Drosophila melanogaster: one gene and its partners. The gene in region 2 interacts genetically with the main gene of each other region. Each region holds a gene or a part of one and is shown on either strand. Other genes may lie near its edges.

Region 1 (9,843 bases), on a different chromosome or scaffold from region 2:
CATATGTATATACACGCATACACAGAAGATAGCTTATATATGTGTATATACATACACGCAAGGCCTTACTGCGCATTAGAACAATTCAGATCATGTTCAAACAAAAAGACCACATCTTTTATATTTAATAATATATTACCACTTGTGTTTCCTCCGTTATTGACATTTTGTTGCTCTGTATCTCCATATCAGCCATTATAACTCTCAAATAATACAACAACTTTGCAACTCTTTGTTATTATGCGTCTTTCGTAAATACTCAAGGTAACAATAAACAAAACCACTACACACAAAGGTGCCAATCGAAATATATCTTAACAGAAACGATGGAATGGAACACATTAAGGGAACTATTTGTATTTTATATTTAAGAACAAAAATATAAATAAAGTTTAAATCGTAACAAATTTTCTTTTAATGACTTAAAATGATAATAGTCATTATATTTAAATAGTTAAATTATGATAATAGTTAAATTATAAATTAATTAAATAATAATTAATAAATGTTCAATATAATTATTCATTATTTGGGGTTTGAAGAAAATATAAAAGTACACGGCTATATATTAACAAACATTTTATATATTGTTTTACTTTATTTACTTTACTAAAGATCATACAAATATTTATAAAATTATATAAATTAAATTGACGTATTATTCAGATTACCATGATACATTTCCCAGCACAAAGTATAAAAATAATTAAAAATACAAGTCACTAGAGCAGCGGGAAGTCCCTTTTTACGGGGCCGTTAAACTATAAATACATCCCAACACACGTCCATTCTCAGTGTTCCAAATGCGAGGATATTTTTGAAAATTAGCATTTTTGCAACGAGTTTAACCACCCTGGTCGAAAAGTTGATATAGATACAAACGCTAAATTGTCCGGTGGTGATAACTTATTGATTATTTATTTTTCAAGGCAGCTATCCGATTTGCAGGATAACTCCGAAAACGAATCAGAAACAGTGAATCCAGATGTCCAGCATGGGTGATCAGCGCGGGACACGGGTGTATGTCGGCAATCTGACCGACAAAGTGAAAAAGGATGATCTGGAGGGGGAGTTCACAAAGTATGGCAAGCTGAATTCGGTGTGGATAGCCTTCAATCCGCCGGGATTTGCGTTCGTCGAGTTCGAGCACCGCGACGACGCCGAAAAGGCGTGCGACATACTGAACGGATCCGAGCTGCTCGGCTCCCAGCTGCGCGTGGAGATCTCAAAAGGGCGGCCACGCCAGGGTAGGCGTGGCGGACCCATGGACAGGGGCGGACGACGCGGCGACTTTGGCCGGCACAGCATCACAAGCGGTGGTAGCGGCGGAGGCGGTTTCCGGCAGCGCGGATCCAGCGGATCCTCAAGCCGGCACACGGAGCGGGGCTATAGCTCCGGCCGATCAGGTGCAAGCAGCTATAATGGCAGAGAGGGCGGCGGCAGCGGCTTCAATCGCCGCGAGGTTTACGGCGGTGGACGCGACAGCAGCCGCTACAGCAGCGGAAGTAGCGCCAGCTACGGACGCACTGGTGGTCAGTCGGCCGGACGCTTCAGGTCCCGCTCGCCGGTGGGAAACCATCGATTCTAATGACAACACCACTCATAGTTGCTTAAGGATTGCCTATGAGTAAAGATTAATAAATAATAACTTAAGCGCGACCGTAAAACGCAGACTCAAACATTTAAAATCGTAGCATTCGATCGTTTTCGATCGTCCAACAGATTCCCTCATTCCCCCACATCAACAACAACAACAGAATGATAAAAAAAAAAGAAAAAACAAAAAACTGATAGTCGTCGTCTCTTCATTATTTATTTAACGAATACCCATTAACATGACAATTGCAAGCACGTAAAATTTAAGTTATAACGTAGAAAACTAGTAAGAAAAATACGCTAAGACTCGAACAACGTCAAACCAAAATCTAGAAGTACGCAATTTTAATAAAGGAAATGCGGAACAGTTTCTCGTATACATAAAAGCTTTCGCAAAATAATTGGTCTAAAACATTAAAGAATTTTGAGAACTCGGAATTGTGTAGGTGTTCATTTTTACAGAACCTCTTATAACCATCGTAATAAACCCTACGAAATGAAGCAGTCAGCAGTCCGAAACTGGTAAGAAAGCGTTTTCGAAAATCTGCTTTGTTTTCTGAATCTCGAAAACCTAAAAAGCAATAACCGCCAAGTGTTTACAAACAAATCATTGACTTTACGTTTTGGTAAGAAATATTGCATGTGTACTATCCATCGATCTAACTTTTTACCTATTAAGACAAATACTATACAAATCTATAACTTATTGTAGTTGGGTCGAAACGGCAAAAATCTAGCCAATGCTGCAAGCAACTATATTAAGCGCATCGGTTTTAATGTTTATGTTTTATTTCATTTAACTAAATTAACAGGTCATTTGTTGGAGTATCTCTTAACGTCACTTTCAGATTTATTAGATTGCTTAAAGTTCAAAACATAGCTAAGCAATACTTATGATAACGACGATTAGTTAGTTAGCCCAAGGGGCTATTAAATATTTAAACGATGGACTGCAGAAACTTTTTAAACAAATAAAAAGCGAGACAAATAAATGAGAAATTGGTTAACACGGCAAAACACTTGTTTTTATTTCTTCGTCTTCGAGTCCTTTTTGCTTCAATAACATTTACTGATGATTGGCCTATTTTGATTTATTCAAGTTACGAATTAAAGTCAACAGTTGAGAATTAAGTGGTACCAAGAATTCATTTTGCGGAAACCAACTAGCCTTAAGATACGAGTGTAATTTTTAAAGTTTTGAAAATTTTTTAAAATTTTAAATTATTCAGATAGCAGGTTTTGCTTTTGAATAAAGGAACTTTAAATTCCAATCATATTTATGTCAAAATAATCGAATACCCATAAAAAACCTGTTGCACTTTTATCGATTGTAAATAAAAAAAGAGAGGATTACATTAATGGTATTACCCAAACTGATAGTTTTCAATAGCATTTCAATGGCTGGAAAAAAAAATAAATAAAAGGTATTCGTAAATCTTAAAAATGTTTGCGTTTTAAAAAATTGCATACCAAAAATAATATTGGTTTTGCAAGAAATGGAATTTTTAATAGCTGTAGCAATATTAGTTTCGTGGGTAGAACTCGAGTAAAAGATGTGTTGGTAGTCATGTTTTTGGTAGCATGAAGTTATATGTGTGTTGTTTAATAAGATTAAAATAAATGCATAGATAATTACATATTGTTTAAAACCGCAGTGCTAAAAAATAAATGGTTGTATCGATGACCCATCGATAGTTTTTGCATACACAATTTAATCGAGAGGGCACCACGCACGTCGATAGCACTGGATGTACATTTTCTCAAATCTTGTGGTGGTATCGCTCGCCGTAAACACCCTGTGGATCTCACGCTTGATAAATTAATAATACATTTAATAGAGCATGAGCGCTACTGTTTAACTTTTACACATAATTGAAAAGTTTTATTTGAAATTTCGTGGCTTAGAGCAAAACATGTGATAGCTTTTTGAAATGCAGTAGCCAGAACCTGCTCGGTTGGAACATTTAGCTTATTGACTTAAACATACCCATATGCACATACATACATATGTATTAAACAGTGGGCACATATATTCGTGTGGTGCTGATAGTGTAAATGTGTAAAATGTCTGTGGAATTGTAAATATGTTTTTGTTTAAACAAATATGTACATAAATGCACAAAAATCGGTGCATATATGTGCACATGCCCATCATCCATATCTGCATATTTCTGTACATGCATATGTGCTCTAACTACAATACATACCACCATTCGCAAACAGTTTGTCAAAAAAGTGTGTCTACTCGGCGAGATAAAACAAAAAACAGTTGCCAAATCAGTCGCTATGTTAAGTAATTCGAAATTACTGCTCGGTGTTTCTAAAACGGATTTTGATTTTGATTTTCACCCCTCGAAAATCGCCCCCTCAGCCAACGAACCCATTTAATTGCTCGAATTCGTATCGAAATCGCCGTGCGTTGGGCTTCAATAAAAGAACTCTGTTCTGTTAGCCAGTTACAATTAAAACCAGGACCATTTGACAACCAATCTGAATGTATTATGCCAAGCGGAAGATTGTTATATTGTTTATCTTTGATAATATGCCGATACATGTAAGTATGTTTCACGTGTGTGCCGCAAATGCCTGCCTGTGTGTGTGTGTGTGTGTATGTACATATGTGCGTGTGCATGTGCGAGTGTGTGTGAGTGTGTGCATGTTTGTGCTAAGGATATTTGTGGATATATAAACCGAACTGAAGTTAACTCTTTACCTGTTCCTGGGAAAACAAGTAGGGAACTATTCCTATAGAGAGTGCACCTCTGTCTGTATGTGTATGTACGTGCTTAAATATGTATCCAAGCAAGAACTGCAAACAGGAATATATCTTAGCCGAGTAAGAAGTATTAGTTTATATAGAACAACCTAAGTGGATCGGGAGAAAACAAGCCCATTATATTAGTTCCATATATCCCTTTAGAATGCCTTGGCACAGTATAATTAAGCAGTTTCTATTGACCATATTAGAAACTTGTCTGCTGTTAAAGGATTTAGGTTTGAATTCGCAGTAGAAAACTAAGCTGAATTGAGTCAATACTTTTCTAACTTGCTGTGGAAAATAAACAGATTAGTTAGAATCATATGCATATTAATTAATATGCTTTACATTCCTTTCAGAACGTACACTTTGCAATGGAGTAAATAGAAGACAAGCACTGGTTCCCAAATACATTTGAATGGATGCAGCTAATCTAATTTAAATAAAAAAGACAAGTCTTTAAACCTTAAAAATATGGCCAACACTATTTCGTTAATGTCCAACGTGATACGCAATGTAGTGAGTAAAAAACGTATACGATACAAAGAAAAAGGATACGATTTGGATTTAACATGTAAGTTATTGAATCAACCGCAATCATTGGAATATTAAATTAAATTATCTATTTACCCACAGACATTAATGATAACATAATTGCCATGGGCTATCCAGCACCGGATAAACTAGAGGGCCTATTCAGAAACCGTCTGGAAGATGTCTTTAAGCTATTGGAAGAGAATCATGCCCAGCATTACAAAATCTATAACCTATGCTCGGAGCGTAGTTACGACGTTGCTAAATTTCGCGGGGTAATTTTGTTGAACTTTTTCTATTTGTCGGCGTAAAATATGTAAAATATACTATTTCGCATTACAGAGAGTAGCTGTTTATCCGTTCGATGATCATAACCCTCCAACGATTGAGTTAATACAACGATTTTGCAGTGATGTTGATATGTGGCTCAAGGAAGATTCGTCCAATGTTGTAGCCGTGCACTGTAAAGCTGGAAAGGGCAGAACCGGTAGGAAATGTGTTCAACATTTTGTGCGAAAGTTCATAAATATCATGGCACACTATGATCTTGTTTCGATATTTGTAGGGCTAAAAAACTAACCCAGTTTTTTTTCATTTCAGGTACCATGATCTGCGCATATTTAGTGTTCAGTGGAATTAAAAAATCCGCCGACGAGGCATTAGCGTGGTATGATGAGAAGCGTACAAAGGACCGAAAAGGTGTGACAATCCCATCTCAGCGTCGATATGTTCAGTATTTTTCCAAACTAGTTTGTTCAAGTGTTCCATATTCGAAAGTAAGCCTTAACGTGAGTATTTCCAGCAGCAGCGCCACATTCAGCGCCGTACAAAATCTAAATATGCATTTTTTGTATCTCAGGTATGTGAAATACGCTTCTCGGAGTCCAGTTGTGTGCAAAACTTAGGCATGGTAGAATGTTCAATATCTGTATTACACGACTCAGCCACAGAAAATGCAAAGCCAGATGTAAGTATATAAAGTATATAGATACATCATTGATAGACTATAGACAGCATTTTAAAAATGTATATTTCACACGATTTCAGTGCAGTAAAGTGTTCCTTTTCGAATACCTTTCTAACCAGCAGTAACATTCTTCTTTTTTTTATAATTGCAGAGACTGAAAACCTTGCCGATTGATTTTCAAAAATCATTTGTTTTGACCATTAAACCATCAATACCAGTTTCCGGCGATGTAAAATTTGAACTCACAAAAAAATCCCCAGATAAAATCATTTGTCACTTTTGGCTAAATACGTTTTTTGTACGAAACTATTCACGTAAGTATACTTAATATCGCACATGCATTAAATAAACGATTTAATTAAACATTCTCTTTAGCTTGCGAGTCCGATGGAACAGTTAACAAATATATACACACTTTAAGCAAATCAGAAATCGATGATGTACATAAAGACAGTGAACATAAAAGATTTTCAGAAGAATTCAAGGTAGGATATTTCGAAGCATTTTAATAGATGCTGCGAAATTACCAAATAAATGTGCTTGCTCTCTTTTCAGATTTCAATCGTTTTTGAGGCAGAGAATTTTAGCAATGATGTTCAAGCTGAAGCGTCCGAAAAAGAGAGAAACGAAAATGTTTTAAATTTCGAAAGATCAGACTATGACAGTTTGTCTCCAAACTGCTATGCCGAAAAAAAAGTCTTAACTGCGATCGTCAATGATAATACAACGAAAAGTCAAACAATAGAAACGTTGGATCATAAGGATATAGTTGTAAGTGAAAACACGTTTTGCGCCGATCAATATGCTTAATCTATAAATCTAATATTCGTAGACTAAAATTCAATACGACACATCAACCAATTCAAAAAATACTTCGACTGCGTGCAAACGCAAACAGCCTAATAGCAAAACTCTTTTACCAAGCTTGAATGATTCCACAAAAGAGGAAATAAAACGAAATCATATATTTAATCAACCGTCCATTAAGAAAACTGATTTAATCAAATGGCAGAATAGTGAAGTTCATATCACCTCTGACACTCGAAGTATAAACGAAAATAAGAACATCAATTACAATTCATACATCACATGTAAACAATCCTCTCCAAAATTCAACTGTGGTACCGAAGATGGCGAGGAAGATTGGGAATCCGGTGAGTTTGCTGCACACTATACTCTCAATGACCAGATCTCACTAAAAATCTATCCGTTTTAATCGAGTAATACCGAACAATTGTTCTAATTTCACATTTATTTAATACTAAGAGTTTCGATTCAATTGATTTCTGGACCATTATCGGTTTGATTTTGTAATTAATTGTATTGTATGAGTATTCAAATTAAGATTTGTTAAAAGAGATAGCCTTTATCGACATATGCTATCGTCCACACATTTATATTCTTATTGACTTATTGAATTCGCCAGAATAATCACCCGAGACGATTTAAAAGACTTCTGGCTGAACGATCTCTTAATTTTGATGTATAAAACGAAGCCACCAGAACTGGATTTATATGTCCCCAAGACTTTTACGAGTATACTAGCAGAGACAGGCTTACACAGATCCACTTCCTTTCACGGGGAAACGATCGATTACAGCTGCGCTCTGCACATCTGTTTAGAATTTAATGTACATAGGTGAGTGAGTGGGAGCCCATGCCTGCGGCTCGAATGGTCAACTAACCGGCAATCCTTAATCAGTATCCGCATCGATTTTCATCACACATCCCTCACCGCTTCATAAGTATGTGACTCTGGGCACTGCCATTGTCCTTCTACTCAATTCATTTAACAAAACTAGCACCGAACTGTCGAACTTCGACTAATTCGACTATTTCACTGTTGCTGTTGAAAACTAAATATCCTGAAGCAGAATGTGTCTTTTGTGTGTTTCATCATCATCAAAAGTCTTCTGCTTTTAATTCATTCATGCTATTTTGATTTTTATCGTATTCTCGTTGAGTTTTAGTTAATAAATTCATTAAGCTTGTTTGAGCAAAAAAATCTAAACTAATAAATGAATATTTTTCTTTATTTCCAGGTGAATCAACATACCTGTAATCAATGCTTATTACGGACTTATAATTCTTGGTGATTTAGCAAAGTAATTAAAATTGCTAAGTAATTGGCTAATCTATTCGAATTTGTAAATATACTGTATGATATTTATTTAAGTAGTTTTAACAATTATTTTAAATAAACTCATGTACATTTTGTATTGTAGATTTCATTCGAACTTTGGGTTTTTGTCTAAAGTAAGGGGGGAGAAATAATTGACGTTTAGAAAAAAATACTTAAATTTATAGTTTTGATCTCGAAACTAGTTTTCGACACGAAAAGTGCAGCGATTAAATGGATATCTCATATTTTATTGGAATTTAACTAATAGTTTCAAATGAGGCAATAGCTAAGATAAATAAATAATAAGAGGTTCTTGAAATTTGCCAATTGTTGTGCAAAGCATACAGGATTCACAAAGGTAATTATCAGATTAATAATAAATATTCAAAGTATGATTATTCCAGTTTCTACGTTAAGTGCTACCAGTTATTTTTCTTACTCTTTTTCCCATAATTCCCCTAACATATGTTCCACTTCCGAGTTCCAATAAACCCAACACAAAAATGTTGTCCAAATTGACGCTATCTTGACGGGCATATATTATTGTGTTAAATTGACGTAAACTGGGCGGTCAGAATTTCGCATCTTAACGTCGACATCTAATTTTAAAAATGACTAATTATTCGGAAATTTTTAAGAAAGTTTTTAACGATATTGGCCAACGTTCAGCATATTCGCAGATGCTTATTGGCGTTTCATCAGGATGGTATGTGGTTATATCATTGCGGCGCATCACTTAAATTTTTAGCAATGCCGATTGTCTTTGGAATTTGAAGTAAATTGATTTTTTGCATACTTTCGGTAATAGCTGGTAGATAACTGCAGAATACGTTTTTAATTAAAATATACAACTGAATGCTTAGCCGCTCCATCTATTGCAAATATGTACTTCTAAATACGTGTATAAATGAATGTTGTTTGTTTGCGGGATACAGAAATATAGGACCTCCCTAAAAAGGAAAAGAACTAAATAGTGTAATAAAATGAGTTATTAATCAGATAAAACTGATATAATTTGCACAAGATAAGCTAGATAACTCGGCAATTTACTATACATGTATATGCGCCAAATGATGAGTTGCAAATTTAAGGAAATCCATAGAATTTGCTGGAATTTGTGTATCTTATCTTACTAAAAATATAACAATTTTTTCAGGGTCACAGGATATACGACAATGAAAATAGGCAAATTTGCTGCCTTTGCAGTTGGCGGCAGCATAATCTTGCTCGAAATCGCCCACCAAGAAGGACTTATAAAAATAAATTGGTCTAAGTTGGATAAGAGCGTGGATAAGCTCGCCGATAAAGTGGAAGCCTCGCTGGGTCGTGAGAAGAACTGGAAGGATAAGGTATAATTCATTTAAACCGTTTATCTATATGCTTACTATATTTATGCTGAACTCAATTTGCAGACCGAAAGATATGTCGACAATCAATTAGACAGAGCTGAAAGCCTCCTAACCCGAAACGGCAAGAAAGTGGCGAAATGGTACACCAAACTGATTGGCGATGAAGAGGGTCCAAAAGTCAACGATCTGCACATATTTTTGGCATCATTTTTCGGTGGCGTTGCCCTGGGCATTGCTACTGGATAAAAGAATTTTCCGATTGGCACAACAAAACATTTAAATACCATATGGTTATTACGAACAAATCTCACTTAATAAAGTTACAAAAAAGGTAATTTAATCGAAAATCAATTGGTTCTTTCCCAAAACATCTCAACACTCTTCGGGTTTTCGATATCATTCGTTTTATTAAATTCTTAAACCTACTTATTTTACAGTCCATTTCGTTGAAAATACATATGTATGTGTAAAATCTTATGTTTACATTTCTGGATTACTGGCCTTAAAGTGGCCCTCG
Region 2 (7,344 bases):
CCTATTTCCAGGTTTTGGCTGCTCTGAGTGTCTCGCTGTGCTCCTTGGTGGTCGGATTTGTCAGCGCTTACACGTCGCCTGCACTTGTGTCGATGACCGATCGGACCATCACCTCCTTTGAGGTCACAAAAGATGCTGTAAGTTTTGTTAACTCTTTGTTCGCAGATAAGCTAATTCGAAGCTAATAAGTCCCAGTGATATGTTGAATAATTCAGATAATTTCAACAGAGCGTTTCAAAGGCACACTTTTCCAGCGAAAATCGGATTTCTATTCCCAAACGAAGCTAAACCCCTATCCAATCACTTGAAATCTATACTATTGCAGGGTTCCTGGGTTGGTGGCATCATGCCACTGGCTGCATTAGCAGGTGGCATAACAGGAGGACCCTTGATCGAATATCTGGGCAGGCGCAGCACCATCCTGGCCACTGCGGTGCCCTTCATCGTATCATCACTGCTGATTGCGTGTGCTGTGAATGTGATCATGATTCTGTGCGGACGATTCCTAACTGGATTCTGCGTTGGCATTGCCTCTTTATCCCTGCCCGTCTACCTGGGTGAGACTTTGCAGCCGGAAGTGCGGGGCACTTTGGGTTTGCTGCCCACCGCTCTTGGTAACATAGGCATCCTGGTTTGCTATGTGGCGGGATCCTTTATGAATTGGTCGATGCTGGCCTTCTTGGGAGCTGCTCTGCCCGTTCCCTTCCTGATTTTGATGATCATTATCCCCGAAACTCCGCGCTGGTTTGTGAACCGTGGTCAGGAAGAGCGCGCCAGGAAGGCTTTGAAATGGCTGCGTGGCAAGGAGGCGGATGTGGAGCCCGAACTAAAGGAGTTGATGCAATCTCAGGCCGATGCCGATCGTCAGGCCACTCAGAACACCTGTTTGGAGCTGTTTAAGCGAAACAATCTGAAGCCACTTTCCATTTCCTTGGGTCTGATGTTCTTTCAACAGTTCAGCGGTATCAACGCGGTTATTTTCTACACGGTCCAGATCTTCAAGGATGCGGGATCCACAATTGATAGCAATCTTTCCACGATCATCGTGGGTGTAGTTAACTTTTTTGCTACGTTTATGGGCATCATTCTGATTGATCGGTTGGGCAGAAAGGTGGGTTTAAAGATGCATATAAATGAAAATCATTGTTTACTAATCGTAATTTTTAGATTCTTCTGTATGTATCCGACATCGCCATGATCGTGACCCTGTCCATTCTGGGCGGCTTCTTCTACTGCAAGGCGCATGGTCCGGATGTGTCCCATTTGGGTTGGTTGCCACTCACTTGCTTCGTTATCTACATTCTGGGATTCTCCCTGGGCTTCGGACCCATTCCCTGGCTGATGATGGGTGAGATTCTGCCAGCCAAGATTCGAGGACCGGCTGCATCGGTGGTCACGGCTTTCAACTGGTTCTGCACGTTTGTGGTAACCAAGACCTTCCAGGACCTCACGGGTGCGTAGTGCAACTAACTAAAATAAGTGGTGTAATAATATTTAATATTTTTGTGTGTAGTTGCTATGGGCGCGCATGGAGCCTTCTGGCTATTCGGCGCCATCTGCATCGTGGGTCTGTTCTTTGTGATTATTTTTGTGCCCGAAACGCGGGGCAAGTCGTTGGAGGAAATTGAGCGAAAGATGATGGGCCGTGTGCCCATGTCCTCGGTGGTCAACATCAAGCCATTTCCTTTCAACATGTAAATGGCGTGTTGCTAAGGATCTGAGATGCGTTCAAACCAAATAGTAGGGTGGTGTCTTCGTGCTTAAATTGTGAATTTTTAGGCAAGCGCAATAAATCAAAATTACCGTTGAAAAATACACCAATTGAAAGTTTTTAGGCACTTATGTATATGTGAGTAAAAAACATTTTCGCTTGCGATATGCACAAGATAGTGTTAACAAAGACACCAGTATAATAATATTCTAGTTACATATTGTTACATATGTAGGACCTTTTATTATTATTAATACTCAAGATTAGAGTTTTGAAATCAGTGGTATTGCTCACCCATAACTTGAACACGGCAAATGGCACAGATATCGCATTCCACATCCCAACTCCACATTGCAACTGCGTTCCATTTCTTCAGCGTAAACATTTTTTCCGGTTTGCCGGCATCTCCGTCGTCTGTGGGCCTATCCACTGAGTTTTCTGGATCATCAGCCATGTCAAAAAAGTCTGGGAAACTGACCAATCCACTGGGCTAATGAGATTCGGTTTTTTAATATTTTTTTTTTGTTTCTTGTGTATATCCTCCTGTATGGGAGATTTTAATTAGTATTACAAATAGCGGTTTAAAAATGTTTTTTAATTTTACAATACAATATATTAATTTTTTAAGGTTCTTTTATTTTTAATTTCCCTTTAATGTTTTATGTTTTTATTTTTATTTGGTAAACAATTTTAAGTTTTATTCGACCCCGTTTTTAAATATTTTTCTAACTGTTAATTTATAGGGTATTAGAAACTCTAAACCGGACCTATCTTAGTTATTGATTATTAGCAAATGGCAAAGTGGTCTAACCAGGTCCGGACATCAGTACGTAACTCAGGTTTAGGATTTTAAATAAGGTAATTATACAAATATTAGGAATATTACTCGAAAAATATGCTTAATAGGCGTAGGAGAGCTACAAGTAGAAAAGTTCAAAAATGATCAACAGGTGTTGCTTCCTTCCAACTGGTGGCGATAATTCTACGAACAAACGGTATATTAGTATTAGGGAACAGAGTAACGGGTATCTGATAGTTGAGCCATTCGACTAAGCGCATTCTTCTTGATTGTTTTTTGTTTTATGAATATTGGTAGCTGCGGAATAGGGGGATAGACTATAAAGCCTCTCACTTATCCCTGGTAAAAATGTAATTTACTTTCGTAGCAAGTGGCTGATACGAATTTTAATGTTTTGCTCAACTTGCCAAAAAGTTACTTCTTCCTCCGAGAACAAAGAAATGCCATTCTCAGTTGTATACGAAGGAAAGGTTATCACAGTGTTCGTTAAGTTGTTAACCTCACTCCTACTTCTTGCTTAGTTTCGGGCAAATGATAAGGAACCGCCGGTTTGACTTACCAACAAATAAGAAGTCGAAATAATTGAATGTAAACAATAGCAAGCCAAAAGTCAGTGTGGCCACACCAAAACAAGGGAAAACTATTTTCAGTGTTGCCACAGCCATTTAGGGGATACATTCACCTTATATGCACGGACACACCTATCGACGACCGATAATTAAATATCGATAAGGCGGTTAATTTGTTTTGTGATTTGGTTTTCGCTTACTTCAACTTCGGTTCAATTCATTTTCAGCCTTCGACGAGTGCGGAACGTTTGCGGCAGCGTTTTTCGGCCGCGCTTCTCAAGTTTCAGCTTGCGTTGGGAAATAAACGGTTGGTTTCCAATGCACTAACACAAATTTGACAATATAAATTATTTGCGGTTTCCGGTGATTACTTTAAAATGAAAACCTTCGAACGACAAAAGCTGACCGTGAATATACAGCAACCTGATTCCGATTCCGTTGCCAACCAGAACGCGCCCCGCATAAGTAATTAAGTAATTTCCATGCCGCTCAGCCGGAATCTAACAGTTCAGCCTTATTATTCGCCCATCGTAAACTGAAATTGAAAAAGATAATGGCAAATGACCCATTATCACTATCAGCACAAATGGCGCATCCGACAATCAAAGATAAACATCCCGTATCAATGCGATCCGATGCCAAATGTGCGATAAGCCGATTAAGGGAGTGGTATTTTAGTAAATAAATGTGGAGAAATTAGTTGTTTTTCACAGTAAGCAATAAATTTTCAAATAGCAAATGTAAAATCTACATAAGCCTTACAAAATGACGACGTGTTAAATGCCAATTAAGAGCAAATATCACCTGTGGCTAATGAAAATGTGCAATTTAATACAACCGCAAACAAATGTGGAAGTAACAAATAATGAAAATTTAAACAGATAAAGGTCATTTCGTAGACTTAAACACAAATGAGTGTCAAAAGCGATACGGATAAATATCAATAATTGCAAAATAAAACCCTTGAGTTGAACGCCCTTTTTTTTAACCGGAATAAAGAAGTAGCAGCTGAAGGAGAAACAGGCCAACAGCAAGTTTAATTTAATTAAATTTCGTTGTTTTCTGTGTGCGTGTGTGAGTGTGTTGTTGTTGCTTTTGTTGTTGGCTTTGCTGGATAATCAACGTAATGCTTCCACCCACATCGCGCGAAAGAGATAGCACTAGCGCAATTGACTTTGCCATAAATGATTTTTGGTTTTTTTTCTGCTATTTCTTTCTTGTTTTTTCATGCTTTTCTGTTTGTTTGTTTGTTTGTAAGTTGGTCGCTGGCAATTAGTGGAACGACAAATGTTTATTGACAAAGGCATTGGACACTTTGATTTACCGGGTCTATTCGGTTAAATTGTTTATGATTTTTAAGCGAAAATTATAGATATATGTACATGTGTATGTACATATGGGGGTGTTGTATCTCAGAGATATCGATGGTAAATGTGACACTTTGTGGGTGTATCTATAATCGTATAAAGTGGAACTCTAGTCGCTAAAAAATAAAATCAAACTCTTAAAGGCAGTTTTGTTTTCCTTATAAGCTAGATCGATAAATTTCCACAGCTTACCAGTAAATTTTCATTTAGAGCAGTTTCGAGTATATACAAAAGTGTTTAAAATTTTGCATGTGAAACTATAGCAAAGTTTCGAACATGTACATATAAATTTCAGAAAGCATATTTTAACAGGTTGTACATATATTCAAGATTTGAATGTCATAATTCATTTCAAAAGTAACTATCTGGTATATTTAAAAACCAAATTCCATCACAAAAGTGTGTTTATTTAATGTTTAAAAATGCCAATAAATGCTCAATTGCAACACCCATTTTCCAAGTATGAGTGCAAATGTTTTAGGGATTTCGAACAAGATCACTTCATGCCCCCGATGCCACAAAGCCTCGAGAAGTAAATGCAATTAACTGGCGAAAAGCACTTGCGCCCCCTTGCCCCTCCCTTTAGACCATATTAACTTGGCTTTAACGCCGTGCACGTTCGATTTGAATGACGCACATTGGCGGCTGAATGGTTGAAAAAGTGCAAAATCAACAATTAATGAACTGAACAATGTTTGCCACCTGTAACGTCTGAGGATGGTGTAAATTTCCAATTGCAAACGATGTCAAACAGAGGCGTTTTACCGTCTGCTAATTTCCCATTTTCATTTCAAGCCGAATGGCCACAAATAATACAACAAAAAATAATGAAATAATAATAATACAACAAAAAGCAGTAAAACCGCAAGATTGCGGCTATTTGCAAGCACTTTATGTGTCGTTTATGATATAGTATTACTATGCGCTGTCACTTCGGTCCGGCGATCAAATATGCAATTAAATGTAAAAAAAAAAAAAAAAATGGCAATTTAATGAACCCACATTTGATTAACCAATCAGCAGTCGAAAGTCAAATTGCTCCAAATCGCTTGTCATGCGCTCCGCGAATTTGATTCAAGCAAACAAACTGAGAGATACAAAAAGATATGCGAAATTCCAATACGGAGTCTGCGTAACTGTCAAATGTTGTAAAAAATCAATAACACAAATGTTAACATGCGCACAATGCTAAAAACGCATAAAAACGAGTCGAGCGGCCAATAAGGTTGGCAAAAAATGGCAAAACAAAAAATGAAATCAAATAAAATGAAATGAAATGAAATGCCTGGCGACGCTTTAAGGCAACTCGGTTTGGGCCAATCCAAGCCCGAGATAAAGCATTTGACACTTTTGGCTAATAAAAGTTGCTAATGAGTGCGCGCAACTCGCCGATTCCGAGTTGTTGATTTAGTTATATTTTTTGTGATCCGGCCAATCGGAAAGCATTAATAATTGGGTGTTGAGAGAGCAGTTTTACTGCACTAATTGTGCATAAATAAATAACAGCTTGTGTAATCCAATTAATTTGCAAATAGTTAAGTTGAATCGCCGAGGGAGAAGTTATCAAATGGGTAGGCTGTCTAGAAGTTAAAAGGCTATTTTATTTCCTTTAAATTGCTGTATTTTTATGAAAATACAGGTATACAAATTAAAGTTCAGGCATATTAAAAATGAAATTAAAAATAATAAAAGTTATTAACTGCTTAACCAAGAAAGAGATCATATATGTACATATATACATTTTCTAAGCATTTTATGTTTCGTGGTTTAAGAAGTATTATATATAATCTTGCATTTGAAATATGACATACGATTATGACATGTTTTCAAATTTATGGTTTTCGAAGTTCTTTTCATTTTTAATTATTGGATTTTTTAATATAAAGAATTTCTTTCTTACTATAGAACATACATCAATTCAATTATCATAAATCGTTATACATTTGATCTTTTAGGAGTTTAGTTTGAGCTTCAAGATTTTCTATCCAAATTCTCGTTTTTCTTGCACTGAACTTTGAAATAAAACCTAAAAAAATGAGTTGCTTGCTCCCGTTTTGATTAAGTATAATGTTTTAATTAACTTGATCTGCTCCCTTTTAAAACCTTTCGAGTTGTGCCGACTCCTTTAATGAGCAGCGAAATCGACGATTGCCAGTCATGAACATCGATATCCATTCATAGAACTGCGTTTTGCTTGTCCATTGAAACTTGGCTAAAATGAAGTGCGCTCATAAATATTTATTAGGCATTGCTAAACTGGGCACTAAGTAGTCGGTAATTTAAGCAGACATCAAAATTGTTAAGGCCAGGTCCACACACACACACACACACACATACTTACTGGACCCCATACCCATTCGGCCGATTTGGATGCTGAATGAAGAGTGTAAATTGCAGCCGCCACTTTGGCGAAAGAAATGAGTGGCAACTGGGGGAGCTTTACATCGACTGCACTTTATAGAGTGGAGTACACGGATTGCGGCCAAATCGAACACGAACTTAAGCGCCAGTTGGGGACGACATTAATTTATGTTCGGCAAACATTTTGCCTGCCATTTAGGCGACAAAGACAAAGTAGCCTCGCCTGCAAGCTCCAAGATTCCGCCCCCTACCCCGATTGGCCCACCAAATCTATTTGTGTTCGAGCCGGAACGCGTTGGGATTATTAATTAGCCAACATCGCTGGCGAAGCCTGTAAAAACATCGCGCCACATTCCCCAAAGTGGAGATGGGGATGCAATTGGGGGCATCTCGTCGAGCTGTGAATGATGATCTCAGCTGTGTGGGAATGCATCTACGCTTGGGTTAGGTCAACGAAAAGTGCTAAAAGGCCAGTTTGCGTTATGGAAAGTTAATTTCAAAATATATTAATGATCGCTTATATAATGCGCAACAAAT
Region 3 (6,876 bases), 1.2 Mb from region 2:
CATATGTCCACAAATATTTCCGGGGACAGAGAAACACTCTTTGTCTAGCGGCTCGCACATAACCTAAACTTTGCGGTCTTTTATCTGATCATTTACCGATTCTATTCACTTCCTGTCTCTTCCCCTATTGGTTATTTCAATGGTGCATTCGAGTGCACTCGACTTACCAGCTAGATCTTGCCCTTTTAATACACAAACGAATTGATTTCACGAGCGTCGTGTACTATTGCACATGCCACCAGCGCGGTGCAGTCTAGAGGATTTCTATCGCGGCTATCGATATATATCGATTGTTCCATGTGTGCTTCAGGGTGGCGCATTTCTGATTTTGTGACGTCACATGTCCAGCATCCTATGAATTAAGTTGCGCTTAGCTAGTGCTGAAAAATAATATTAGTAAATAAGGAGTATAGTATAGTATAAGAGTTAGTAAGTGCAGAATAATCTCAAAAATAATGAGCATAAGAAAATCTACAGAAGTGCCGTAGTTGAGAAGCTTAAAAAACAAAAGCATCTGTAGCATTTCTCAACATCTGGTGAAGCATTCTTAGTTTAATTACAATACTCTGTATGTTTTAAACATATATAAACGATAGTATATAATTTACAGAAAATGCGCCATAGTGTGGTACGTGTCAAATAAAATTTAAACGCAATAATGTTTAAGCCGAGTTTAATGTAGTCTGTAAATGTACCACTTTCTAAAAAAATTAGTTACACCACCATCGATAATTACAGCTGCGTTCCGATAGCAGTCAGCAGGCACATCTCTGTTAATTTATAGCAAAAAAAAAAAACAAATATTCAGAAAAACAACATTCAATTGTTTGTTTTGATCAAATAGCAACGTAATCCAGAGGTAATTAGTCATCCAAAGAGCATAATTTGAATAATGGGAAGATAGTAGGTCACGTCAAAGAAAATTATAATAGTGTGGTTTCCCGGTAATTTCGAGAAGCTGGCAATTTCCAAAAGTGAGTCACCACTTTTCCTACACCGAGCTGCTGTGTATGTATTATTTGCGCTGGTGGTGCTCCGGCTGAACTAATTTAATAGCTGCGACTACGTTAAAGCGCTTAAGCTCGCAGTTCAGCGTGTAGGTAAGGTTCATAAATGGCCCCAGCTATTTTCAGAGAACCCACACAAGAAAGCTTGAGAGGTACACGTCATGGGGGCCACAACAAACGAAACGGTGCCGAAGTTTCTCAGGCATTACTATAGTGGCAAATTGATTGATAATTAAAGTTGCATGCCACCAAAGGTGTGCACATTTCTTAGACACTAATTAAATTAGCTAATGATTGCTTATCATCGTGTCTTTGCAGGTAAAACAACAACGAAACAATGCAAGGTGAGTGGAATAAGGACAAGCCGTACTAACACATTCTTTTTGGATCTAAGTTTACTCCACAGCGGTTTCGGAATTACATAGAAATCAGAGCGAAGTCCCTCGAGAATGTCCTGGCAAAGTGTTCCCCAGTATCCCCAATACCAAGGTTCAATCTTCTTAACTTCTAAGCGAGTGTTACAGCTTACCCGTTTTCTGATCGCATGCTTTTGTTCGTCCCGGGGCTTGTCGACCCGTTGAATGCTCAGTAATTGCCCAGAGCTGATTCATTTCCATTACCTCTCTCTCTTTACACATCGTACTTGTCCCTTCTTATCATGGTTGTATGTACATATTTGCTCGAGATTGTTTCTTGGTTTACCGCATCTCTTCGTCACGGCGAAGCGTTTCATTTAGATTTTACAGTTCTTGGTAGACAGATTGCTGTAGCGAACGCGTTGGTAGCACCGTTTTAGATGACAAACTAAAACGAGATGTCTTATTTCGCAGATCCCAACCAGCAGTACAACTATGGCGGCGGTAATCCCCCGCAGGGAGGATATGGTGGATATCCACCTCAGGGCGGCTATCCACCTCAAGGACCGCCGCAAGGCTACCCACCCTATGCACAAGGAGGTGCTCAACCCTATCCACAGCCCTACGGACAGGGGCCTCCACCGGGAGGTTATGCTCCCCAGCCGGGATTTATCCAACCACCACCATCTGCTGGCGGCTACGGAGCCTACGATGATCCGGAGAGCCAGCCCAAGAACTTCTCGTTTGACGACCAAAGCATCCGTCGCGGATTCATACGTAAGGTGTACCTGATTCTAATGGTGAGCTTTAGATAATTCTGCATAGAAGGCATGTACAATAAGTTATCATTTCTGTGTCATTAGGGACAACTAATCGTCACTTTTGGAGCTGTTGCCCTGTTTGTATACCACGAGGGCACTAAAACCTTTGCCAGGAATAACATGTGGCTCTTTTGGGTTGCCCTCGGCGTAATGTTAGTAACCATGCTGTCTATGGCTTGCTGCGAAAGTGTGCGCCGCCAAACACCGACGAACTTCATATTCTTGGGTCTGTTTACAGCAGCTCAGTCGTTCTTAATGGGAGTTTCCGCAACCAAATATGCTCCGAAAGAGGTGAGTACTTCGATTTAATTACGATATGTAGTAAAGTGATACGATATCTGTTTTCCAGGTTCTCATGGCGGTGGGCATAACAGCAGCGGTTTGCTTGGCCCTAACGATCTTCGCCTTGCAGACAAAGTACGACTTTACTATGATGGGCGGTATTTTGATCGCCTGCATGGTGGTGTTCCTGATCTTCGGCATCGTGGCCATCTTTGTAAAGGGAAAGATCATAACACTGGTGTACGCCTCGATTGGAGCGCTGCTCTTCTCCGTTTATCTCATCTACGACACACAGTTAATGATGGGCGGCGAGCACAAATACTCTATCAGTCCCGAGGAGTACATCTTTGCGGCACTAAACCTCTACCTGGACATCATCAATATCTTCATGTACATTCTGACTATAATCGGCGCATCGCGCGACTAAGTTCCGCTCTATTTCCAAATATTGTTTGCAGCTTAATCGGGTTATTCAGTAACCTGGAATACACGAATATTGTTGTCGCGTAATCTCATCGGTGTGCTCCCCCAGTGGAGGTAATCTTCAACTAACGAATTACTCAAATACTTACAAATCTATCTACTTCGTGTTGTGTTTGCCCATTTTCCCCGTTTCCTTCTAGTTCTAAATGTCAACTAAGGCTATATGAACTACTTACTTTTTGTTATGTATGTTTTATTGTTGCTTAAGTTGAGGCGCAAACCAAGTGGATATTTCCAAATTTAAAAATAAAAAAATTATATATATGTATGTATACCAAATGATATGCCATTCAGATAAACGAAACAACAATAAATAGTCACGTATAAACATATTTATGTAAAAATATACATATAAGCAAGTTGGCTTGCAGTTGTTAACACATAAAACTTAACCGTGTGTAATAACCAAGGAATCCCGATTTTCAACTATGAATCAAGTACCGAACATTGTAATCCCTGCAGCGACACTGAGTTTAAAGTCAACAATAAAGCGCATCTATTTATTAAAGCCACAGACCCCTGCATTGTAGGGCTTCCGTCAGTGGTTCATCCAGTTCAACCAGCCAGCCACCACCAGATGCAACTTTAGTCTGCGACTTCAGAGCGACGCCGTTGGTTGGATTACTTCTACACTCCAGACCATTATCGTCTGCATTTTTGCTTTATCATTGCTTAAGTTAACTTTGTTATCTGCACCACCACAGAAAGAAGTCCGGGTGTTTTAATTTCGGGTTGGCCCCATATCATGCGTTTGACCCGGCCACCTGTTCAGTAGTTCGTGTGAATTCCAGCAGGGCGTAGCTATAAAATGTATCACTACCAGCAAGGTAAGTACCGCCCGGATTGGGCTGAAACCAAACCAAATTGGCTACGGAAAGGTGCTTTAGATTAGATAATCGATTTGGCTATTGTATAAAGCTTATTGACTGCATCGTTTTCTCTCAGTAAGAGCCAACAAAATATATCTCTCTCGGCGCATTTTCATCTGATAAGACAGCTGAAAAGGTTTCGTTATGAGCCCAAAAACAGTGATTCACCCAATCGAAGGGAGAGTGAACAACCATTTTGAAATTGTATGGTGGCAATATCAGTTACTCACCGACATCAATACACAAATCTTATCTAGAGTAGAAGTGTGGGGCTGTGATAAGAGCCGGTAACCGGCTAATCTCAACTCATACGTCCATATGGGAACACCTAGAAAGGGCGATTCGGTTCCATTAAGCTGAAACACTAGCACGCTGCCGGCAGTCGGGCAAAGAGAGCACCGTAACTTAAGTGACTAAAGTTTAGTCATAGCAATTTAGCCATGAGCAGCGACAATCATTTTCAGTACGGTTAGTCATTGCATTAACTTTCCTGCTTCCTTGAATTGTCTTCCAACCACACAGGCGATGAAACTGGCGCATACACAGATGCGGAAGCGGACAAGAGCTTCGCCTTCGATGACCAGAGCATCCGGAAGGGATTTATTCGAAAGGTCTACTTGATATTGATGGTAAGTGCTGATATTTGAACTGAAAAAGAAAATATCAATTTAAATTGTCCAAAAATAAAGGTATTTGCTTCACTACTTGTCTGCTTTGGGTCACTTTAAAACTTCAAGATTTATTGACTTCCTGCAATCTAATTTTGATATCGCGCTCTATTTCTAGTGCCAATTGCTGATCACTTTCGGTTTTGTTAGCGTATTTACGTTCTCGAAAGCTTCGCAGGAATGGGTGCAAAAAAATCCGGCACTGTTTTGGATAGCCTTGGTAAGTTTTTACGACTTTTATGCTAAATATTGAATACAAATATATCCAATTTTTAAACTCAGGCCGTTCTTATCGTGACCATGATCTGTATGGCCTGCTGCGAAAGTGTACGCCGTAAGACGCCTCTTAACTTCATCTTTCTTTTCCTGTTCACCGTGGCGGAGTCGTTCCTTCTGGGTATGGTCGCCGGACAGTTTGAGGCTGATGAGGTCCTGATGGCAGTGGGAATTACGGCCGCGGTGGCCCTGGGACTCACCCTGTTTGCCCTGCAGACCAAATACGATTTTACGATGTGCGGAGGAGTGTTGGTGGCCTGTCTGGTGGTCTTCATCATTTTTGGTATAATCGCTATCTTCATACCGGGCAAGGTGATCGGACTGGTCTATGCCTCCTTGGGAGCATTGCTCTTCTCCGTTTACTTGGTGTACGATACCCAGTTGATGCTGGGTGGTAATCATAAGTACTCCATCAGTCCTGAGGAATACATCTTCGCCGCTCTAAACCTCTACCTGGACATTATTAACATCTTCATGTACATACTGACCATTATCGGATTGTCTCGCAATTAGACTGGTCATTATGATCCATAGCTTCTATTCCAGTTTTAGAAATGTAACTTAATTTTATGTGCCCAGTGCCACCTTAGCCGGAAAGAAATACAAGACGACTAACTAATCCAACATTGTCGAGTGCTCGCTTTGGTTTGGGATTTTGGCTGGGATTGGGGCGCGCTCAACTAGTTCGAACCTTGTCCACACCGCGGTGTCCAATTAATTAATGCGCACGAGAGGCCGTAATGTAATTATGTTCAATCAGCCCCTGCAGCGCCACCAGTTCCTGGACTGGATTGAATGTGGACAAGGTGATCGGCGCGATCGTCAGTTGCGCGAGCGTCTGGCTAACGGGCGGACATGGATTTCGACGAGGTGCTGCGGGAGGTGGGCTCCTTTGGTCTCTACCAGAAGGTCATCATCTGTTCCGTTCTATTGCCCGCCGCGCTGCCCTGTGCCTTCCACGCATATAGGTTGGTCATCCTTCTTTGGTATTCTATAATAATAATATTGAAAAAGAAATCTTAATGGGATTTTCACATCCATGCGATAGCATCATTTGGGGTCTACCTTTTCGCCTCTTAAAGGTACCTCATCAGAAAATTTTCATAATTATCTAAAATGATTATTTTCTAGCCAGTTGTTCATAGCGGCCACACCTCAGCACTTTTGTCGCGTTCCTGAGCTGGAGCCCTGGACGCAGGACTATGTGCAGCTTGTTAAGAACCTGAGCATTCCGCGTAATCGCAATGGAGCCTATGCCGAGTGTTCCATGTACTCGAGAAATTACACCGATATAGTGCGCTATCTTGAGTATCGACCTCCTCCGGATTTGTTGCGACAACAGGCAGAGGATTTGCTCAAGTTGCAGCCGGATACGACGCAGGTGGTGCCGTGCCAACATGGCTGGCACTACGACAAGTCCATATACTCAAGTACGGTGGTTCAAGAGGTGGGGATTTTCCAATTGGATATGGTATGTTAGAATTATTTCCTCATATATCTTGCAGTGGAACCTGGTGTGCGACCGCAGCTTCCTTGTGACTTTGGCGCTTGTGGTCTTCGGTGTTGGCGGATTGCTAGGTAACTATGTATTTGGATATCTAGTGGATCTGTGGGGCAGGCGGCCATCCTTTTACGCTTATCTGCTGCTCGAGATCATTGCCTGTGCGGCCAGTGCCTTTGCCTGGAACTATTACACTTGGTTGGGCCTGCGCTTTGTGGTGGGACTGACGGTGCCAGCTATTCTGGCGAGTCCCTATGTACTGGCCATTGAGCTGGTGGGACCGGAGAGGAGAGTTTTTTGCACCATCGTCTCGAATATCGCCTACTCCTTGGGCTTGGTGGTATTAGCCGGAGTTATCTATATCGTACGTGATTGGCGGGAACTCAGTTTGGCAGTGTCCATGCCTTTGCTGATGCTTTTCTCCTGCTTCTTCGTGCTTCCGGAATCACCACGATGGTTAATGGCCGTGGGAAAAACCAGGAGGGCCATTAAAATTCTCAAAGTAATGGCCAGAGTGAATGGTGTGCGCGTAAATCGGGATTTTGTGGAACGGTTGCAGCGAAAACTTGTCATCACAAGGGCTGCGGAAACCAAATCTTCAATGACCACCCAC
Region 4 (7,267 bases), 7.5 Mb from region 2:
TTGGTAATTACCATCTCAGTCACAGTCCTCCGCCAGTGTCCACGTTTTAACTATTTGAGCCCGGCTTAACGCACAATTTTTTTGGACAACTCCTGCATTCTGCTAATAACTCTGCGAAGGAATATCACTTCATATAGAACAACTATTAACTGCTTAGTGCATTGCAAAATCTTTTATGTCTAATACCTATCTTAAGTTGTTCATATTTTTGGCTCTCTAAAAAGCGTCCATTTTCATATGTAATTGGGACTTTCGCTTTATTATTCAGGCTTCAGCCTTATAAGTAGTAGTTATAAGCCATGATTCAAATCACAAAATCATTATTTTTCATACATCACATCTTATTTCATGAATAACTTTAGTACTAAGTGTAAATTGCTTTTCTCCCTTAAAGTTTAAGTACCCCAAGATATTGTACCATTCAAAGCTTGTAAATTAACTGTTTGGTAATCTGTATCTGTACTTGTATCTACATCTGTTGTCTGTTTTATCTTCTCTCCCTTAACACAATACCCATCAACTGCTAACTGAACTGTGATCCACAACACGAATCTGTATGTATTTCATGGTTCCGATACACGCACATGAAACACCTATTTCAACAAAAACTTAACACGGTTGAATATTTTTGGAATATTTTTTGTAAATATTTGGGTTTATTTTTGGAATTTGGCTTTTGAATTTTTCTTTTTATAATCTCTGATTCGATTTTGGTTGTGATTATTTCTCATACTCCTCTCCTATTCTTTTCTTTTGTTTATTTTCATATGTGCAAAATATGATTTGATGGGTCCTAACGGGTGCTTGGTTTGTGTGCCACTCTCAACTTGCCACATAAAAAAAAAACAAAAACAAACACACACTAAAATTAATAAAACGCAGGACCACGCATGGGCATTGGTCACTCCATCACCGACCACTCACGTCGCTCCTCAATTTCAGAATCCTCGGCCATCTCAGGCTTTTCCTCGGCTAGCAATAAAACCTACGTGCACGAGGCCTCCACCCTGGTGCTGGAGACCATCGAGAATGGCATAAAGCGGTGAGTTTCGATCGAGTGTTTGCATTTTATGGATTCTGATGGAACTGCTTCATGTGCATGATCTTTAGCCACTTCATTGTGCCTTTGGCCATCGCCCAGAGACCGCGCTGGCGTCGCAAGGGCACCAAGCTGCACATCTACAACGATCACACCTTCATCGCCAAGCATTTGAGCGGGTAAGTTTAAAGTAGTAAGCATTAGTTGCTTTGAATATAATTAACGAATCCTTTCACATTCCAGAAGCGGTCTGCAGTGCTCCATCTGTATGAAGTCCATCCCGCGGAGGCCCGGAAAGCAGGGCTACGAGTGTCGCGACTGCCAGCTGATTAGTCACAAGCAGTGCCACATACGGGCACCACAAGCATGTCCCAATCCCACGGTGCTCTCCATGGAACTGTAAGTGTACCTGAATCTCCGTCAGCTTTTCATCCTTTTCTCTGCCCGATTTTGATATTTGAGGGAATTACAAACTCCTAACCAATACCCAATACTAATTTATTGATTTCGTTTTATTTTTCTCTTTCCACACACACACACAACACAACACACGAATACGCACACCCACCCAATGAAACAAAAAATAAATAAAACAGAACGTCATTTCCGGTACTCACAGAGAGAGATATAAACCTAGTTAACTAAATCCTTATTTTGTGACCAATCCAACTATCTGAATACTTATTCTTTTGTAAACAACTTGAATCCGCCAAATGCAGTTTGATATTTACCAAGAGCAATTTTTGATTTACTCACTCCACTGAATTGGCGTCAGAAATGGAAAATTCGGCTTCGTTTTCCGGCTTCCGCTAGCATCCTCCCATACCCAATCGCACTGTCACCTCGCTTGGCCACGCTGTTTCATTATGTGTAATATAACTTCTGGGCACTAATTCGAGCTCTTTTTCTCATCGCATCCCTCACACGAAATACAACCAAACCACCCACACGGACACAGGATGGCCAGTGAGGAGTAGAAAGGTCTCAGCCACAGCACAGCATCTTTAAAGCCAGTTAAATACCATTCTTAAGTGCTATCCAAGCGATGTGCGAGTTCATTCTGACGCCATATATATACATATATATAGTTAAAAAAGAACCTACACAATCCTCCTTCGATTTGACCAAACAAAAAATAGAAAAAACTCCAGGGTTCTAGATCCGTTCTGCTGCAGTTTTGTGTGGTTCGCGCATTTTCCAGTTGACCCTTTGGCAGCTGGAAAATCGGGGTAAGCTGGCAACGCATTCGCATGAAATTCCTCGTTCTGCTCCACTGTGTTGTGTACTAAATTAACACTCTCGTTCGGTTTTGATCGCACTGCGATCCATACTAATGCAATTCCTTCTGAGGATTGTTCAGTTAATTCGTTCAGATTCGGCCTAATACTGTTTGAAGCTTGTTTTCCAATTGTTAACCATTGATATTGCACTTGTCTAGATATATCTAACGTTCGTTTTTCTCTTATTTTCACAGAACTAAACTCAATTCAGCGGCGGCAGATCGCAGCATACGGAAGCTGTGAATATGGGGAATACCCTGGAATCCAAGCCAGACAGCCCCAAGCCGAGAAACCTTAATCGAAATAATACCCTAGTTACATAGAAGTGAAGGAAGGAGCTGTGCTAACCATCTTCTTCTGCTATGGAACATCTCGATACATTTTACGTTATTTATTTATACACTCACGCGAACACACACATGTGCAATAAGTTCTTTGGATTCGTTTTTAACCCATTTCTCCGTGTCAACGTGCTCGAGCCCTTTGATATTTTGTATTTTCTACAAACACGAATAATAATTGTACAAAATAAAAGTGAATTAGGGTTTTTTTTTTAAATTAAACAACAAATTCGGTGAATCAATAAAGTTGTGATCACTAATAATACCGGATATTTTTCGGAAAGCAGTTGGCAGTAGTTTGCGTGTAGATATTAAACATTTCACTTGTTTCGAGTTTAGGATCCAATTGTTGTTGTTGGGAACGGCGGTCTGCACAAAGGAGTTTTCCCAGTTTGTGGCTGATTTAGGTCTTAGTAACGTAGGAAAGATTAAGGGGAAGTTCCTATAAAACATTGCTGATTGGCAATACAGTGACAAATCATTTGTATGACATTCTAATTAATAACTAAAGAAACATTGAAGTAGATTTGAGAGCTTTAACTAATGTATTCCTTTAACGCTGCTACTAAATGTACTTTCATGTGGATTCAATGATTCATTTTATTGAATTTCGAATGTCCTTCAGCAGTTTAAAAATTTCCCCTGTCTGGCCACCCCTTCTGGCCAACTAATATCGATATCTTCGAAACGACAGCCCGACAGAGTTGCCACCGCCGAACGACCAGCGCTGCTATCGATAGGCCCGCGGGCAGAGTGCCATCGCTAGCGAGGGGTGAGAGGAACAACAACATTTGTGGGCTGCGCGTTGACGAAGTGCATGTGAAATTTTTCGTGTTCGTAGGACAATTGTTAATTATCCACTGGCCGAATTTGCCCCGCAATCACGTGTCGGTGTAATATGTGAACGGTTTGTGGTGCTCACCTAGCGCTTAGCGAAAATCGGAATAAAATTATAAAAAAAAAATAATAAACGTAGTATTTACACCAGCAACAACAACACCACGAACGGGCGACAAAGCGACACGCCTCGCGTTGTTGTTTTTGTTGTCGCGTGTTTTTTTACTCGGCAGCACAGCAACTATTTATTTATTTAGGCAATTTCGCTGGCAAAAACAAAAGTGGCCTTCATAAATTCTAATAAAAAGTAATTAAAGTGCAAATGCATTGAGAAGCAAGGAAGAGGAGACGAGAAGATAAAGAATATATGCAGTGGAAGAGAGAGAGCGCGAACGAGAGAGGGGATTACAAAAAACGAGACATCGTTCACTTGCCCTCTCGCTCCCACCCCCGCGCTTTCTCCACCTTCTTCTCCACCCTGGCCTTTATCAAATTTGTTGTTGCTGCTTTATTTGCTGATTTTTGTTTTCATCGCTTTTTTTTTTATTCTGCGTCATAATTCGCGATTCTCTAGTTTCGTGTGTGTATCAATTCAATTCTCTGATCAGAATCTGATTCATATGAAATAAATGTATATGTTTAATACATAATATACAAAAGTCCAGTTAACCTTACGTAATTGTGTGTATTTCAAAGCGTCCAAAATGCATCTCGATCCACAAAAGTATCTAAATTTCGCCTGCTACGTGTGCTAATCAGTCAAACCCAAAAAACGAATAAAGCAGCGTCAAGAGTAAGAGTGTCAATCAAATATTAAGAGTATACCCACCCAGTAAAGAGAGGTCCAGCCAAAAGGACTCGATCGCCTCGAACCGAAAGCGGAAGCGGAAGCGGAAACGGCAACGGCATACGGATACGGAAGCTGCCAAGATGGCCGCCGCCCACAGTCACCACAATGCCAATATGCTCAGCTCGGACATCTCTCGCCGAAATCCGCAGGACGAGTACGAACTCATCCAAAAGATTGGCTCGGGAACCTACGGCGACGTCTATAAGGTGAGTCGAAATAGAAGCCTTTAGCTGTAGTACAAAGTGGTATTAGGAAGGGAAAGGCAAAAACTTCTAAATAAAAACAACAGCAAACAAAAGGCAAAGAAATTGCAAAGTGTGCTCTTTGGATTTAGAATGTTTCCCCAAAAATCCGTAAGTTTTTATAGTTTCCCTCACTGCAATTTTTGCATTCCGTCTGCACAGGAAAAAATTATCCAACAGTTCTCAAATTCGATTAATTCACTTTGAATTGTATCAGGAAGTTTTCTGTTCAATAAAGAGACATCACACATTATGTAACACTATTGCCTCATTGGATTGCAAAACCTAGGAATAATGTTCTTATTGGATAATTTTTGGACACATAATCAAGAATAAATTTTAAAGTTGAATGTGTTCCATATGGTAAAACTAGTTCTAGTCCGTTATGCATTTATAGAAAATGAATTTAGTTACATATCTCAATGTGGAGTATCATTATTGCTCACCACGCCACATAAATAATAAAATTGTATGTGCGTTAAAATGTAGAACGCATTAAATCATAAAGGAGGAATGTTTTTTTGCTCCAGTGCAAGAGTGCATGTACCCCCTCGATCTCCCCACCGCCACCCACTTGCAGACCCTCATTTGTACATCTGTTTGCCACAGCATGTTTCTCATTCCTTCACTACCCCCACCCCCCCTTCACTCCACATCCCTTTCAGCACCCCCTTCCCCCAAACCCCTCGCCCCGCCACAAACAAAAATATGCGCAATTTTAGTTTTCCATCTTCTTCTCTGTTGGATCGTTCTTTTTATACCATCCAACTTCCATGTTTACTCTTGCTGCCCGTCGAAGGGAAGTATGACAAATGCCCCGAAACGCCAGAGAAGTTGCCCTTGGGCGGGGGGGCGTGGCACGTTGCAATTGTTGTTGCCAGGGGCGGGATTATATGGGAATATATCGGGGGAGATATTATGGTATTTCTCATGTGCAGACCAAGGGTTAAGTTCCTCATTTTCCATATGGAATGCCTTTGAATTCGAGGGATTTCCCCAATTCGATTTATTGCATTCTAGTTGGCAACCCAAAATCTATAAATCATCAGCTTTTCGAACGTTTTCCATTCGATTAATTTTGACGAAATTGAAATTGATTAAATTTCACATTGCTCATAAAAGATGGGAATTCAATTAGTTTGTGCACTTTTGAAATTCGATATTAAGTATATCGTAATTTATAGATTTTAATTTGTAGAAAATGAGAGAATTGTTAATTAATTTGCTTTGGCATATTGATAACTTGGTTTGACAGCGCACAATGAAATCAATATGTCTATAATGTGCACCACAATTCTGCACGACATTTGAATGGTTTTTGACTCGCTTAATTTGAATGCTTAGGTTTTAAACAATATGTGCAGTTTTTTGGTTGGCTTTTGTTAATAACGTTTTATGTTGACTAAAGTCTTGTTTTTCTGTAAACTCAGGCAATCATTATTAGTCATCAAAGCGTAAGACTGTTGAGATTATGCTTATTCTTGCTCATCAGACTGATATTGGGACTTGATTCATTTTGCCTCACTTCAATTTATTCGATAAGCAGCCACGCGCTTGCATTGATTATTCGGATTAGTTTCGAATGTGTTATTTATTTATTTATTTATGTTTGCCCACATCTGGTTTTGTGGCCCTCTACTCATTTTGCCATCTGATTGTGTCTCGTTTTTGTTTTTTAGAGCCCGTTCCGTTCTGCTTTCTGTATCTTTTCTCCATGTTCCATCCATGAGATGCGTCATGCCATGAGTCCAAAGCCCATGGTTTCGGTTTCAATCCACCATGCAATTTACACTCTTTCGTTCCCCCTGCTTTTTACTTCGGTTTTTTTTTTATTTATTTTCACACCGAGGTATTTGGTTGTCAAGGGAATTTATGATGCCACACATCTAGAAAGGAGACGATGGCATTTCGATTCTGTTTACACAAGCGACAAGTTCGCCAAATGAAAACAATCGGTTTTGGGGATAATTTGCAGTTTGGTTTTCCGCATAAGTTTTTGGCTAAACCATTATTACACATCGAGCACTTGAAGTGCAGGGCAATCGAAAAGCTCGCTTTTCCTCTCATTTTTTTCGCAACTCGTTTCGCGATATCAATTTACAATAGAAATAATAACAGCGAAATGAACAACAATGCGCCCTGTTGACAGGCTATTACGAATGGAATTGGGTTTCTACTGCTCCAATTTGTTTGCTCCACCTCCTCCCATATGCCACACCCCCTTCTAACCCCACAACACACTCATTGATTCTTATTAGTGGCACAATGATCCAAAAATTTAGTGCAACGCCGCAAATAAATGTTCAGCTGGAGAAAATGGGTGGAGCTTTAAAAATTTATGTGATTCAGTCTTGCTGGACTGTTGACATGCAAATTTAGATGTTCAATTTAACGAATGCAGATGATAAATGAAATGTACATATTTATATTTTCAGTGAGATTTAAAGACTAAAGTATAATTTTTTGACTAGTGACTCAGTTTAATATTACGTGCTTGTTTCGAGTTTATTTAACTGTGCTCTTTTTTTTTCCATATTTCACCCTTATTCAATATTCTTAAAAAATATTTATTTTAACTTCTAGTTATTTTATGCATGTTTATATATGCACTATATAAAAAGTTATTGCAATGTTTTTAATTTGTACGAGTATTCCTCTGGAGAAAAACTTGGAGTATA

Evidence for each region.
Region 1: of Buffy (region 2) and Pten, changing one suppresses a phenotype caused by changing the other (phenotypic suppression), as found in Drosophila melanogaster (one study listed by BioGRID).
Region 3: of Buffy (region 2) and Lfg, changing one suppresses a phenotype caused by changing the other (phenotypic suppression), as found in Drosophila melanogaster (one study listed by BioGRID).
Region 4: of Buffy (region 2) and hppy, changing one suppresses a phenotype caused by changing the other (phenotypic suppression), as found in Drosophila melanogaster (one study listed by BioGRID).

Annotation. Positions count from the first base shown.
Region 1 is NT_033779.5:10,254,561-10,264,403, reverse strand, and holds Pten (phosphatase and tensin homolog), read left to right. Parts: upstream 1-3,354; 5' UTR 3,355-3,550; exon of another isoform or gene 3,551-3,819; 5' UTR 3,820-4,150; intron 4,151-4,416; exon of another isoform or gene 4,417-4,713; 5' UTR 4,714-4,828; coding exon 4,829-4,928; intron 4,929-4,990; coding exon 4,991-5,163; intron 5,164-5,230; coding exon 5,231-5,375; intron 5,376-5,488; coding exon 5,489-5,676; intron 5,677-5,747; coding exon 5,748-5,855; intron 5,856-6,006; coding exon 6,007-6,169; intron 6,170-6,230; coding exon 6,231-6,340; intron 6,341-6,410; coding exon 6,411-6,626; intron 6,627-6,687; coding exon 6,688-7,009; intron 7,010-7,281; coding exon of another isoform or gene 7,282-7,286; exon of another isoform or gene 7,287-7,494; intron 7,495-7,897; coding exon 7,898-7,917; coding exon of another isoform or gene 7,918-7,951; 3' UTR 7,952-8,085; downstream 8,086-9,843. Other genes in the region: REPTOR-BP (REPTOR-binding partner), read right to left, coding at 140-196; Rsf1 (repressor splicing factor 1), read left to right, coding at 986-1,588; CG5676 (uncharacterized protein), read left to right, coding at 8,589-8,683, 9,134-9,326, 9,390-9,572; Ror, read right to left, coding at 9,807-9,843.
Region 2 is NT_033778.4:11,676,201-11,683,544, forward strand, and holds the start of Buffy (buffy), read left to right. Parts: upstream 1-3,291; 5' UTR 3,292-3,386; intron 3,387-7,344. Other genes in the region: Roc2 (regulator of cullins 2), read right to left, coding at 2,006-2,165; Tret1-2 (trehalose transporter 1-2), read left to right, coding at 12-137, 326-1,111, 1,168-1,453, 1,514-1,698.
Region 3 is NT_033778.4:12,873,672-12,880,547, reverse strand, and holds Lfg (lifeguard), read left to right. Parts: upstream 1-3,581; 5' UTR 3,582-3,757; coding exon 3,758-3,776; exon of another isoform or gene 3,777-4,258; coding exon of another isoform or gene 4,259-4,286; exon of another isoform or gene 4,287-4,340; coding exon 4,341-4,447; exon of another isoform or gene 4,448-4,466; intron 4,467-4,523; exon of another isoform or gene 4,524-4,604; coding exon 4,605-4,706; exon of another isoform or gene 4,707-4,768; coding exon 4,769-5,275; 3' UTR 5,276-5,384; downstream 5,385-6,876. Other genes in the region: Nmda1 (N-methyl-D-aspartate receptor-associated protein), read left to right, coding at 1,457-1,496, 1,838-2,163, 2,227-2,475, 2,534-2,893; Balat (Beta-alanine transporter), read left to right, coding at 5,618-5,730, 5,894-6,209, 6,268-6,876.
Region 4 is NT_033778.4:19,175,306-19,182,572, forward strand, and holds the start of hppy (happyhour), read left to right. Parts: upstream 1-3,432; 5' UTR 3,433-3,567; intron 3,568-4,193; 5' UTR 4,194-4,427; coding exon 4,428-4,553; intron 4,554-7,267. Other genes in the region: CG10737 (uncharacterized protein), read left to right, coding at 1-3, 883-1,042, 1,111-1,218, 1,283-1,438, 1,636-1,684.